Mytilus edulis: one gene and its partner. The protein of the gene in region 1 binds, or shares a complex with, the protein of each later gene. Links are inferred from orthologs where the notes say so. Each region holds a gene or a part of one and is shown in the gene's direction. Other genes may lie near its edges.

Evidence for each region. The genes of interacting proteins can lie anywhere in the genome.
Region 2: the proteins of kinesin-associated protein 3-like (region 1) and kinesin-like protein KIF3B are in contact, whole or in part, in a crystal structure (PDB 9IKB), measured with the Caenorhabditis elegans proteins. The link is inferred for Mytilus edulis from reciprocal best matches to the Caenorhabditis elegans genes kap-1 and klp-11. Residues at the interface, in NP_001367739.1 of Caenorhabditis elegans: Pro155, Gln156, Thr159, Ser197, Lys198, Phe199, Ser200, Cys201, His203, Thr263, Asn264, Thr267, Ile269, Lys304, Leu307, Lys308, Ile311, Phe312, Met345, Phe348, Asn349, Phe352, Lys378, Asn381, Tyr384, Leu385, Cys388, Asp390, Lys393, Glu416; in NP_001369897.1 of Caenorhabditis elegans: Phe567, Pro569, Lys644, Arg645, Leu646, Val647, Ala648, Thr649, Pro650, Cys652, Arg653, Arg654, Pro655, Met656, Ser657, Met658, Cys659, Glu660, Ile679, Val686, Glu687, Ala688, Thr689, Ile690, Ile695, Arg696, Phe697, Cys698, Gly699, Glu700.

The regions. Positions count from the first base shown.
Region 1 is NC_092345.1:944,606-952,100, forward strand, and holds the start of kinesin-associated protein 3-like, read left to right. Parts: upstream 1-4,413; 5' UTR 4,414-4,527; coding exon 4,528-4,559; intron 4,560-6,750; coding exon 6,751-6,882; intron 6,883-7,495. Other genes in the region: N-terminal Xaa-Pro-Lys N-methyltransferase 1-A-like, read right to left, coding at 22-531, 4,007-4,156.
Region 2 is NC_092350.1:78,705,393-78,713,355, forward strand, and holds the start of kinesin-like protein KIF3B, read left to right. Parts: upstream 1-4,871; 5' UTR 4,872-4,939; exon of another isoform or gene 4,940-4,943; intron 4,944-7,007; 5' UTR 7,008-7,074; coding exon 7,075-7,077; intron 7,078-7,963. Other genes in the region: centriolar satellite-associated tubulin polyglutamylase complex regulator 1-like, read right to left, coding at 4,508-4,553.

The DNA.
Region 1 (7,495 bases):
AATTTCTAGTTTATTAAGCCATTACCGCAAAGCAAACATATACACATTATAAAGTGCTTTTGGGAAACCTTTCTGTTTTCTATCTAATATTATTTTGAGACCTGCTTTTTCTATGAGAGATCTGAGATTGTCTAAACTTCTAGTATAACTACTGTCTTCTGAGTCAAACTCTCGCTCATCAGTGGTTACATTTTCTTTAACAAAAATCAAACCATTTTCTGAAAGTCCTTTTTGACATCTTTGAAAGAACTTTATTAAATCGTCATCTTTCAAATGTCCTAAAACCCATTGACACCAAATCACATTATAATGTCCTTCTGCTGGGCAAAAGTCTTGTAATCCAGAACAAAATCGATTCTTGACTTTTGAAAATTCTTCTCCAATGAAAGCTGGTGCCTGGTCTAAAAAATTCTGGCTGAGCTCCACCATGTCAACTTCTTTGAAGATTGGTAATAAAAGTCTTTTTGTAATTCTGCCTATTCCTGCCCCACAGTCTAAGGCCCTGGTTGTTTCTGTTTCTCCTCCACCCATCTACAAAATAGTTAAAATTCATTTGATTTCTGGCCTAAAACTATTGATCCTTTTTAACATATCTTAACAAATCAAGATCCAATAAAGTACATTCAACATATTTACACAACTTCTAATTTTGGGAGATTTTAGAGCAAAAAATCTAAGTTTTCAAAATACTTATTTCTGTTTGTTAGGCTTCAAATAGTTACCTTATACATGTTATGTTATGTATATATTTTGTGTATCAAAAAGGTAGTGATCAGCCTTAAAACATTTAGATATCAAGTCAGTCACATAAGGTTTTGCTTGCATTTCATGCAATCTTTACCTTTAAACAGTCCATTAAAAAATGTTTTTAAAAATGGCTTTAATTATTAATGAAGCTATATTGGTTTTACCGTTTCAATGGTTTACACTAGTCATTTTTAGGGCCTTTATAGGTTACCATGGTTACTGTTCAGTGTGAGCCAAAAACAAAAAAAAAGACTATAACATAAGGCCAAATAAAAAAGTATGTGTGGTTCCAGTTACATCTGAAAAAAAGTTAGGGTAGGTACATGTAGGTAGGGATTTTTTTTTATTTTATGTTTTTTTTTTTACATTGAGTCTATGGGAGCAACATTCCGACTTTAACACTGCTTAATGAAAAATGACAATAAAATCTTTAGGGTAGGCTATTTTTAAGCCGAAAAAGTAGGGACGGTAGGATAACTGGAACCACATGTACACATATATTTTTATTTGGCCTAACGAAAGAAAAATCTGTCTCAAACAATTGACTTCAGTACAACAATCACTTTTCCATAGTGGAGTTAGACATGTCAGATGTTTTCTATTATGATGTCAAAAGTTTAACAGGACAGACAATTCATGAGGAGGGGTAGGAGGGGTCCTGATCAGGATGATCCTGAAATCCCAGGCATAGAACACAAAATCCTGAGGTTCAGAATTAAAATAAATTATTAAATCCTGATATCCCGAAATTTGAAAAAAAGAATTTCTGGATCCTGAAAGGGTCAATCCCGAAATCCTGAGCTTAAAAACACCTGATCCTGGAGTCCCGATAAAGGTCCTATCCCCCCTCTATCATTCAAAATGCAAATAAATATTAAATTCTGAATTGATTGACAAGGGTCAAATGACTTTGAATAGGAGTCCATTTGTACTTCTCGGACTGCTAACTTTAAACAAATATGAACATGATGAAGGTGTTATACATGTACTATAGACGGAGTGTTGGTAGGAGGGGTCCTGATCCTGAAATCCCGGGTTTTAAAACATGAAATCCCCAGATCCCGAATTTAAATCCACATATCCCGAAATTCAAAATACACGAAATAAGAATTCCTGGACACCGAAAGGGTGAATCCTGACATCCTGAGCTTAAAAACACCAAATCTTGGAGTCCTGATAAAGGTCCTATCCCCCCTCTATCATGATTGACTATTAAGTTACATGTATATATGTAGGACTCTAAAGTGCGATGGTCACGCTAAAGTGCGATGGTCTACGCTAAAGTACGATGGTGTCTCACGCTAAAGTGCGTTGGTTGTTAGTTCGCTAAAGTATGATGGTGTATCACGCTAAAGTGTGATGGTCCAAAGGGTAAGATTCAAGGGGTTAAAACATCGAGGTTAAAAAAGTTTTGCAAAAGCTAGTATGCTAAGGTATAACATATGTGATAGGCTTCATAATTTTCCGGTAGGCTTAAGTGATTGTTTCTAAATAAACAAGTTCAACCAAGTAATAAATGCTATAAAGGTACTAATTTATGTGTCGCAAAATATTAAATTTCATGTAAAATGAATTTTTAACAATTTGGAGCGTATTCATGGTATTGAATATTTGGATAATTGGTATATATTGTCGTTCACACCAATGTTACAACCTTCCTTAGAGTCGTCATTGAAAAATTATAAATACAAAATTCGTTCATTGTCGGACAGTCAGGGGACTTACTTAAACAAGTGATTTTCTAAATCACTGATTCAAGTAACATTATTTCCATAAAGGTTGGAAGTTAGAGTTGTCTTTCTTTAACAATCACCTATTTAAGTAGTACAAATTAATCACTAGAAGAAGTGATTTAATTTTATTGTAGCCTTAAATATAAAATACTAATGATCCAGGGACTAATTATGTTTCTAAACTTATCAGAACCAACATCTGTGTTGTCTAGGATAACCAGGTCATTTCAGGTGATGACCTTGTACTGAATCTAGGATAATGACATAAAAATCACTTGTTTAAGTATCAGACCTCAATTTCCTTCCCAAAAATCACTTCTTTAAGTATCATTCTTTTAATAACCCCTACTAATTTCAACACCCCTGAACAGTGAAATTTTTATCGCGAACAGTAAAATTTTATTGCATAATCTGAAAGATGAAACCTTGAACTTCACAGGAAAAATACTCCCACTGCTGTGAAAAATCTTTTAAGAAAGTATCAGTTCATTAAATAAAGCCATTATTATAGCATTTTTTCAACTAAAATGGAATTTTCAGCTAAATGATAGCATCAAAGGCATAAACCTTGCTACTTAAAAGAAGCCAAAAGTTCATATTTTTTAATTTTACTAATTAAAAGATATTATTTAAACCTATATGTGTTTAAAATTTTGAAAAAACTAAAAAATCCCATTTTGTGACAAAACCTCGAATTTGCTACTCAAATAAGTGATTTAAAAATCACTTATTTCAGTAAGTCCCCTGACTGTCGGAATATGCAACAATAATTTTTCTATTTATAAGCTTTTAATCATGTCAAATGCGAGAAAAAGGCAATGTTCGCCTAGCTTTCTCCTTTTTCTTAGCGAGTACAAATACATGTTTTATTTTCCTACAATGTACAGTACAAACAAATGTTTAAGCAGAAAATTTATAATTCACACATAAAAACATGTATGTCTATTTTACCGTCGGACGTATCTTACATTAAAATCAACAGCATTTTAACGAGGATCAAAAGTAAACTGCCACATAAACAATGCTTCAAATGTATCCATTTGCTTCTAATAGAAGCAGGATAAGTATGCCTAGACTGTTTTGTATGTATTTAGTAAATTTGTTCACACAGAGTACAAGTCCTTCCAGCACTCGAAAAAAACATAAACATTGCGCTACAGCCGACAAAGAACGGTTAAGTTTAAATAAATTACTAGTATTAAAGTCATGGACATTTATTGTAAAAATTGTTAATAAAATATTCTGAATCTATCTTCCGACGTGTTCATTTTTGGTTTGTATAAACGACTGATAACGTCATAATCAAACTACGTTTCTTACGTCTATACTTTCGCGGACCATCGCACTTTAGCGAATACCATCGCACTTTAACGTGACCATCGCACTTTAACGTGACCATCGCACTTTAGCGTCCCCATCGCACTTTAGAGTCCTACATGTATATGTAACATGTATAATGGAAATACATGTAATTTGTAAAGTTTTATAAAAATTATACATGTATATGTACTATATTTATTATTTACCGTTATAAATGGTCTTATAAACTCTCTTGAACCGTTAATATCTGTAGGTGAAATTTTTGCAAATCCACCCAACATTCCATCAACTGTTGGAGGAATTGATTCCCAATGTTTCTTTGCATCACCGTAAAATTTCTCTGTTCCCTGATCCATGTTGTTCTGGAGACTGGTTTCCTGTGTATTGAATAGATATTTTGCTTTCTTTTAAAAATTGTGGAAACCAGTATAACATTTTAATCTCTATACTGATTATTCTCAAAATACCTATTAATAACTTGAAGTGTATTTATTTTTAACAAAATAGTTTTATAATAATGAAATTTATTCTATTTACTCGTAATTTTAGGTAATTCATATTATTATGTTTGGTTGAAGACTATATTAAACTGGTTTTCGAACTTGTTATACTATTTTCTGATTTCAAGAGATTAAGGAACCAGATTCATAAATATTTTGCCATGGATGTCCGAATAGAATAAAATTTCAGTAGTTTTGTGTTTAAAATCAAATGAGAATAGTCCAAAATGCAAGTCGAAGAGGCCAGATACTTAAAAAGGTTAGAGATTTTTAGACGATTTTTGTTATTTGATCTACATGTACACATACTTAAATATTGTCATATTTATTTAATATTATTTAATTTTTATGGATATTTTTTTTTGTCTAACGGTTAAGCATCGTTCATTCAGTACTCAGTACTGCCAGAAGTATGTCAAGATGACATTACTATTTGTGCTACATATATAGGTGCCAAAGAAAGATATCAAAATGTCCTGTCAAGAGGGTAAGAATGCCCTTTCCTGTCAGTGTCATGCTTCAAACAGTCATTTTCAGCTATGGTAAGCGTCATAATTGTGATTCGTCCGAGGTCTCAAATAATTATTGTAACTGTTATTTTAAGAAAAAGTAAATGTGTTTTCGTCAAAACCAGTCACTTTTTTATCATATAAAACATGTGTAAAAGGAATGCATTTTATCTAAATACTTACAATGTATGTTGAACAAATCTATCCCATCAAAGACAAACAAGAGATACATGATACTACAGATACAGTTAATTCTGCCTCATATCTTAACTTACATCTAGAAATTGACAATGAGGGTCGGTTGAAAACAAACTTTATGACAAAAGAGATGATTTCAGCTTCCTAATTGTGAACTTTCCATTTCTATGCAGCAAATTTCTGATGATTCAAGCAGCACCTGCATACAGAGAATATATATCCCAATTGATAGGTTATTCCCTGGCTTGTATTTCCTATCATGATTTTCTTGATAGAGGATTACTGCTCACAAATGAAGCTATAGCTATTAAACCAAGAGGACTTACTGAAATAAGTGATTTTTAAATCACTTATTAGAGTAGCAAATTCGAGGTTTTGTCACAAATTGGGATTTTGTAGTTTTTGTTTAAATTTTAAACGCATAGGATTTCTTTTGCTAAGGTCGTCAAATCACTGCCTGGATTCAAACTTTTTACTCTGATTCTAAAATCAAAAATATCTTAATTAGACTCTGTTTCATGCATGTTTTTCATGTTTTTGTTTATAAATAAGGCAGTTATTTTTCTCGTATGAATTGTTTTTCATTGTCATTGTGACCTATGGTTGGTAATTTCTGTGTCATTTTGGTCTCTTGTGGAGAGTTGTCTCATTGACAATCGTACCACATCTTCTTTTTTTATAGTTAGAGACAATATATTTAATTTTTATTGGCTTTACATAATGAACTGATACTTTCTTCAAAGATTTTTCACAGCAGTGGCAGTATTTTTCCTGTGAAGTTTAAGGTTTCATCTTTCAGATTATGTAATAAAATTCTACTGTTCGCGATAACAATTTCTCTGTTCAGGGGTGTTGAAATTAGTGGGGGTTATTAAAAGAATGATACTTAAAGAAGTGATTTTTGGGAAGGAAATTGAGGTCTGATACTTAAACAAGTGATTTTTATGTCATTATCCAAGATTCAGTACAAGGTCATCACCTGAAATGACCTGGTCATCCTAGACAACACAGATGTTGGTTCTGATAAGTTTAGAAACATAATTAGTACCTGGATCATTAGTATTCTATATTTAAAGCTACACTAATATTAAATCACTTCTTCCAGTGATTAATTTGTACTACTTAAATAGGTGATTATTAAAGAAAGACAACTCTAACTTCCAACCTTTAAATGGAAATAATGTTACTTGAATCAGTGATTTAGAAAATCACTTGTTTAAGTAAGTCACCTGACTGGTGAAGTTGAAATCATCAATTTATAAATTTTACGGATGCCATCACGAGTTGGTTGACCGTTATGAAATAACCATTTCATAGATGATATCAGATATGTTCCTTATGTCGTAACTACAATACCCTTCCCTTTTCACGACTGTGACCTACCAAATTAGACTATTTACATGATTTATAACTATTTATCATGTCTACATTTAAAACATCTCTATTCTGTAAACATGGTAGAAACATATAAATGTAACTACGTTTATTACTATTTTACATTGGGGGATGATCTCTGGTCCTGCTGGTGCTCTGGAAGGGTAATCAGATTCAGCTCCACAAGAACCACCTGTCATGTTGGTCAGGGAATTACTCAATACAAAGTTGTGATTGAAGACGTAGATTTTGAGAAAATGCATAAATGATGCTTTCAAACAGTCAAGTGTAATATATTTCATGTATATTAGAATCTAAGAAATTTAATAAATTTGAGAATGGAAATTTTAACATTTTTTGTTATTTCAGAAAAGTAAAATTCAGTAGTATTGATGTTCATCCCACAGAAAAAGCTTTGGTAGTTAATTATGAACTGGAGGCAACAATACTTGGAGAATTGGGAGATCCAATGTTAGGGGAGAGGAAGGAATGTCAGAAAATGTACGTTTATACTTTCTTGTGTACTTTCTAAATGCTGTATGGTCACTGCAATGAGAAAAACAAATAAATTTAGTTATAATCTTAAAAATCCTTCTCTTCATTGTCTGATTGTAACTTACTTTAATTCAGATTTCAGATTCTTAATTAGATTTATAAGTAATATTACATTAGTCATGTTAGTGTTGTCCATTAAAAATCATATAACATGTATACTATATATACATGATATACAAAACAATATTTCAAAGTTTCACATGCAATGACATGTATAATAATATAATTGTAACCATAATTTTAAGAATTGTTTAAATAAGTTAGTCATGTACATGTTAGTAGTACGGTTAGGAGAATTTTTGAATCATATAAAAATTTGTTAAACTCAACCATCATATATAAGTACCATCTGTTTTAAAGACCCATATCATTAATGGGTATGTATATGTTACAGGGAATTTGTGAAATCAGTGATTTTTACAAAATCACTGAAATTTCAGGGAATTTGTAAAATCACTGAACTGATTAGTGATTTTATAAAATCCCTGATTTTGACTAGTGATTTTACAAAATCCCTGAAATAATTAAAATCTTTTTTACAGATTCACTGATTAAATTC
Region 2 (7,963 bases), on another chromosome or scaffold:
TTATTTATTTTTCATGCAATTACATAAAAACTTTGACAAATCTATAACTTAGAGTGAGAATTCTCCTAACAATTCACCATCTCAATATTCTTTTAATAATAACAGTTGTAAATTAATGCATTACAAAATAAGAAGATATGGTATGATTGTCAATGATACAGTTCTCTCAACTAGAGACCAAATGATGTATACATGTAATAGATTTAATAACATGCAACTATAGGTTACAGTATGGCCATCAACAATGAGCAAATTAACCCATACTGCATAGTTAGATATAAGAGGCCCTATAATCCACAATACTAAACAAAAATAACCAGGAAATATATTTATAAAAAGTAGAAACACTATAAAAAATGCAGGAAAACAAGTGTTGTTGAAAATCATGTAAAGACGTAAGATGCTTGTAATTTTGAAATTCTTAGACTGTTTTTATCTTTTAATGTATATATAAAAAGAACAGTTAATAGAATATTGAATGAATGGAGTTTGAACAACCATTTTATATAAGAACCCTGTTAATTTTAACTCGCTGGTTTGTAATTAAAATGGCCAAAAAAAAAACATGACAGTCACATGTCTAATTGAAGATCCGGTGTCTGACAGGCTAAAAACATATCTGGACTTTATTTTAACCCTTCAGAATTTGTTTCAACAACTCTTATAGTGATGCACATTTTTGACATTAAATAAAAAGGGTCTCAACACTAATTAGCGACAAGAAGCGTCAAGAAGAAGAATTTTAGCAACAAGAAGCGACAAGAAAACATATTTTTTTTATTAAGATTACTTATTCCAAATAAATATTCCAATTTAAGTATATGGGCAGAAATATATATTGATAGATGAAGATATTAAACATTTGTGAGGAAGAAAGGGATTGTGTAGTTTATATTATTATATTGATAGATGAAGAAATTAAACATTTGTAAGAAAGAAATGGATTGTGTAGTTTTATTAAATATAAAGAATATGTTTAAGATAATGTATGTACAAAAACATGAAATAATATTTCCTTTCTAGCAGTATAATTCATTGTTCTTGATAGGAACAACATTAAATGTGGCTTCACCCTAGGGTACACACAATGAGAAAAATAAAATGAGATTAACAAGGCGTGTGTCCCTTGTTTTATTGCTACAATAACATCCAATTAACACCTTCAACTTTGTACAAACGTCAGACTATACAATTACATATGTGCCAGAATATACAATCATTGTAAATAGTGAACACCTGTTGAAAACTGAAGATTGTCATTAATTTCATTTAATTAGTCTTCAATCAACATTAAACTATGCATAAACATGACAAATATCGTAAAATGAGGCAGTACACAAAATAAAATGATCAAAAATATTCACATTTTATGTTTTCCTCTTGTTTGATTTCAGTTCTTTGTATTTCACAATTTGTGTCTGTATTTTCTGGACAATGATGCACAACTAATGCATTTTGCAAGTTTATTATCTATTGTACAAAGAGAGTTTAGGGAGCTACCATTTGACTTTTATGGGGGGGCTAGGATGAAATTTGAAAAAAATAGGCAGGACAGGAGTTTTGAGTAAAAAAAAAGGCAGGATGAGACACTTTGCAAAAAAAAAAAGGCAGGATGACAATTTAGGTAAAAAAAGTCAGGATAAACTAATAAAAAAAAAGGCAGGACCGAATAGAGTGAAAAATAAAAAGGCAGGACAGAGATTACAACTAAAAAAAAATGCAGGACAAAATTTTTCTTCCTAGCCCCCCCATAAAAATCAAATGGTAGCTCCCTTAAAGGGAAAATTCGCAAAAAAATAAAAATTTGATATTATGTTAAATAAATAAGCATATTCTCTGAATATTAAAGCTTTATTTGTCTAGATAAGTGAGTTATTAGATTTTTGAAATTGACTCTAAATTCTCGGCAAGACGCCATCTTGAAAACTAATGACCACGGATATCTAATTACCACAAAGTCCTAGTACACGGCATGACATGTCCGTTAATCAGTGTTAATATGACTTGTCAAGCTGATGGATTTTCTACCCGACCAAGTAATGGAAGCTGAAGAAGTCTACATAGTTTTCAAGATCATCAAATCAAGTAATGCTTGACACTAAGATTGATAAGAATAATTTAAAAAATACTTTAAAAAACATCTTTTTTTTCTAAGAGGGTTAAATATTCAACGTACAATGCTGAGGTCAGTTTAAAAAGCTGTAAATGACATAATATCGTACAATGGTTTTAGCTGGTCAATAAATTTACATTTTTGGCACCCAGATACAGTATCAAGTATTGTATGAATTATGCTATAATAATGTTAAAGCAGTCTCAATAAAGTGAAAAAAATTCCGGAGATACTTATTATAAACTGAGATTTATCTCCTATGTAAAAGATTTTTTAAATGCTTTTTTTTCTAACATATATTTTTAGCTTATTTTGGGTTTTTACCTAACTTGACCCACGTTCAAAAACTTGTCTTCTTGTAATCAGCATGGCTTAATACAGGTAATTACTGGGGTATTGTAAATGTGACATATGTATTCTAACGGTCGACTTCCTGGCAGGCTTGTTTAATTTAATACACAATGAACAAGGTCAATGAATCACATGCGTGATCGCGAGTGAACCAGGTGTGCACAGGTAAAATTTATAAAATATACCATACCAATATAAAACTGTCCGTGATATATATGGCCTGTGTACAAAATCTAACAATTTTTTTAAGAGTGATTGTAAGAATACGTATAGATTATCCCACTGTTATCTAATTTCAATTTTACTTTTATTTATATTTCAGCACCTATTCTTCCGTTTTTATATATAATTTTTAGTCCCGTTATTTCATATAAGTAATTCGTCTAGTTTTTATCCTCACATATGTGACTTCATTTTCACTCTAGAAAACAGTTGTATATTTTGAAATGAATGCCGTTTTATTTTAATAACTGTTCATTCATTTTAAATGTGAAATAAGAATATCAATTTGTAAACTTCGGACTATACAAATGCAGGTTTGCTTTCGTCTAATGAGATAAGAGAATTGAAAAAACTGTCATATAAAAACAAGCACGCTCAAATCAAAATATAAAAATATGTGAGTAAAAGTTAACTTGAACAGCAAAATTAACCTTTGATCTCGAGTGTATTGGTAATAAATTTATGTATTTTTATAGTATAGCTCCTTCCATAATCCAAATGATATCAGATAATTATTTTTCATAAGATTAACCCCACTTAAATCTGAGACTGTGTTATAGTAGTCTCAGCTTAAATCTAATGACAAACACTAGAGGTAAAAATGTAATACAGATACACCTTTCTTTGATCATGGCTTTCAAATGTCTAAATTTAAGTGTTCCCGTACATGTTTTGCCTTTATAAGACAATTAAAATGCTTTTGTAAAACTAGTTCTATTTTCCCTTTTTAAAAAACATAAATAAATCATAAGAGTGTATCTCATTTTATTCCGAAAACTAAATTTAATTTCCATACTTTAACCGGTTCATTTTTTAGTTTAGTTACTTATTTGAATTCAAATAAAATAATAGCATCAAATATAATTAAATAATTCCACGGCGATTCACTTGTATTTGTCAACACCTTAAAAATGTATTTTAAATTTGTGTATTAAACGCGACCTCCTGTCTTATAATCCACTGATCCGAATAGACAGTCGCACCTGGCACGGAGTTAATTACCAATCTGCAAATAACATTTTACCTTCACAAGTATTGTCGGAGAATAATACACACAACGCATCAACCTAGTAATAACGTAGATAGTAAAAGGTCAATAAGCGTAAACCTATATATATTGTCTTAACAGTTTAAAGTTATATACTTCAATTTATTCACTTTATCAGTATGCAAAAGCATATATTAAAGCAAAATAATAATAATAAAAATTTCTTGTGCTGTCTACCCTTAAGAACATCAAAACCATTAATACATAAAACTATTTACTGGTAAACACCATTTGTTGAATAATAATATTTATTATTTATCATTATTACAAGTATTATTTAGTACATATGAAAGAATTAAGCAACACAACTATAGAAGATTTAATTAGATTTAATAAATCTAGCGTACATTGCTGTTTTTCATGTAACAATAACACAATGTAACCGTAGCCTCAATAATTATTGTTACATTCGTAATTAATCGGTTCCTTGTCCAACTTTGCATTCCGGCATTTAGTCTCCGATGTAACAATAATATTTTTATTATTGTTACATTTCCATTAATCGTATAAGCCAGTGCCTTTAAATTTGTTCTAATTAAAGTCTTTAAAAAGCGACTTTAAATATGGTTTAAATTTGTAAAGTTGTAGTGGTGTTGTTGTTCTAAATATAGAAACCGAAAAAAACCGTCACAATATATGGGATTGCAATCGAAACCGATAAAATATGGATGATATGAAAACATATGCCAGGACGATAAGGTCTAAACTTCTATGACCACTTTTTCGTGAACAATAAAGTAAAAAACACTGAAAATCTAATTATATAAACGCACCAAGGTATTTTTCTGCTGACATAGAGAATCTATCTTCCGCTGACATTGTGTTTTTCTCTTGAATACACAAATTTAAGGTCAATGATTTTTTTTAGTTGTCACAGTTGACATGACAACCAGTGCATTTTTGTGGATATCTCGAATTTTTCTTATTTCGATTATCTTATAAGCCGTTTAAGCTGTACAGCGTCATGTTCTTATTTAAGTGTGACGAATATTCTCCCAATTTCTAGAAAAGGGTTACATTTGGTTGGAAATTTGGATTGTGGTGGTCAAAACTGTATTAAAAAAGTGCTAGTCTGCGTCTAAATGATGTGTATTGAAAGAGCCAAGAAACCGTTATATTTAAACGTTTAGAAGACATCGCAATATTTATAGAAAATGTGCGCATGCGTTACATTTTTTCTGGCGAAGTTTTGAGAGCTCGTAGATGTAGGTAAACTATTTCGATACCATCACTTTAAATTGCCACAAGATACGAATACATTTCCCATGGGTTATTTCTTCTTTCCATTGAAGAAAAATAGCGAAAACAGAAAAAATTATCGCATCGACGTCTACAACAACTGAACAAGCAAAGCAAAGAGTTGGCTTTAAAAAAAAATAATCATTCCAAAAAATAGACTTTTAGACCTCAAAACTTGTCCAACATCACAGCTTTGTCTGTATTCAGAGACATTTTTGGAGCTGTAAGTTCACTTGTTTTGACGAACGTTAATTTTATGTTTAAGCGTTTGTAAATTCTCATATGGTATCGTGGCTGTTCCCCCTTGAGTTCTTTCGCCCATACAGTCTGTATACTCATGTTTTGTTCTCCCAACTTTTATTGAAAAATATTAATATTAAAGTTTAATAAACTTTAATCAGATATTGTCTTGTATTGTGTTTTCTACCTAATGCTACTTTCCCGCAGTGTTCTTCCCAGATATTTCGTCCTGGTAAACAGGGGAAATTAAAATACCATCTTGTTTCTAAAAATTATAGCATCACATCCATAACATAATCTAAAAGAAAACCACTTCAGATAGCATGATGCCATCACATTTAAGATTATTATTAAGCACCACATTACCATGATGCTAAAAGGCCCTGGGCAATGCTGGGGAAATACTGTATATAGCCCCCCCCCCCCCCCCCCCCCCCCTATGTGATTCATATTGGGCTGCTATACTTAGTAACAATAACAAATAATACCATGTGTGGTGAAGATGTCTTTATGGTGAAGATGTCTTTATAGTAAAGAGTTATACATGTTATAATTAAGTACTTACATTTCTGTTGAGCCAGCTGGACATTTTATGTCTTATCCGCATTCTAATCTCATAAGACTTAGAAACGAAAGACAACAATGGTTATCAGTTACCATCATATACATTTGTAACCAATTATTGACAATAAAAAAACAATTATTTTTTGTACTTTCATTTGACTTTACTTTTGTACTTCACTTTGAAATGATGTAAACTTTACTTTGAAATGATGTAAACTGTTAAATTGACAGTTCATAATTTGAAGTGTGCAACATCAGTGTACTTATATCTGAATTAGACTCTTTATTTGTGCAAAATAACGTTGTCAAAAAACTTCACTTTATTTTAAAAAAAACACAATTTCCTGATACCGGATGTTGACAATGGTAAAACATGAACCAGATACAGATACGTTAAATCTGTGTGCATTTACACAGCTTGGGTTTAAGTAGCTCTCCACGTTATTTCTTCAAGAAAATACCTGAAATGACCGTTAGATAAATGAACCAATGATTAATTTTAGCATTTTTGAAGAGCAGGGACACGTAATTAAATTTCCCAACTGCACACATGCGCACTAGTTCAAACAACGTGGTTCGGTCGATCTTTTTTAATTTTTCATTAAATTATATTTACAAACCATTTGTAAATGTATTTCTAATAAATTTAATATTTTTGAATAAAGTAATTAGATACAAACTGCTGAAATGTCAAAAAATATCTTTGAATTAACAAATCAATGTCCGGTACAATCTTTAGTTTACCTGTCAACTGAACAGGTAAAGTTCAGCTGTCCGATACTAAACCAATTAACCTTGGTTATAATGAGAAGGTATTAAGGTAGGGTTTGTTTTGATAGTACAATTTAATTATTCACCATGTCACTTTTATGACCGGAAATGTTTGGCTGTTGACAAAAGGACGGGTAAAAAAAGATCACAAAAACTTTCTTAAACTGTCCTGGATTTCTACCAAACTTGGACAGAAGCTTGTTTATGATCATATAGATAGTATTCAGAAATTATATTTAAGAGAAAAAAAATCCTGTTTATCCTTATTTTACTTATGAATGGACTTAGTTTTTCTGCCAGTTAACATTAAATACAATCTGCAGTCAAAGTTCCTAAAACATTTATAAGCTTCATAAAGTAGGCAAGACACTGGGTTCCGCAGAATTGTTAATGTGTTTACTCCAATCAACTTTTTTTTTTTTATCAAAATGATGTATGATTAATTATCTTTATTTTCAGACTTGGAAATGAAGACTGACTCTGTTGATCAAATCTATATATAGAAGTTAAAAAGAAAGAGGTCATCATGGTATGTTAGGGAATACATATTGCTGTTTACTATCAGCATATAGTAATAAGTCACTTGATTTCAGATAAAACATTTAATATGCAGCTATATTAAATTTAAATGTTGAGTACCATCAAGCTCACAATCACTTACAAAGGTTCTGTTTTCACTGGACATAAACTTTATGCATGAACATAATGAATGACCACATTGTGAGTAATTACATCTTCATTGCTTATGAAAATTCTATAGCAAAGCCAACGACAAAACCATTTGTGTAATTCAACCCTATTTTAAGACACTTATTGTATATACATGTACTTAAAGATATTGCTTTTATAAAATACCAAAAACAATAAAAAATGCAATCATGATGAAAAAAGACATCATAATAATATAACTGATTCAATGAATGATAAGGCAATGAAATCTAGCACGAAAGATACCAGAGGGACAGTCAAACTCATTAAAAATAATCTAACAACCCCATGGCTAAAAATAAAAAGACAAACAGACAAATAATAGTACAGAAGACACAACATAGAAAACTAAAAACTAAGCAACACAAACCCCACCAACCTAGATAAGGTACTGACATTAGCCCTTACAATAGTTTCCTTATCTATATATGTAATAAAAATCTTGTTTTAAAGGAAATTTGTTTATTCTTGCATCCTTTTACTATGGCTTGGGACTTCCATTATTTTGCAATTTTTCCTTATCGTCATTTTTGGAATTTTCAACTTCAAGATATATACATGTATGACCATTTATTCTACATGTTCTAAGGCTCTTGAACTGTTGACATTTCGCAACAATCTCATGTGCAACGTTGCATCAGAAATGATCTATTATGATGTGAAAATGTTTAGGGAAAGACTGACTGTGTGATGGCTAGGTTTTATAA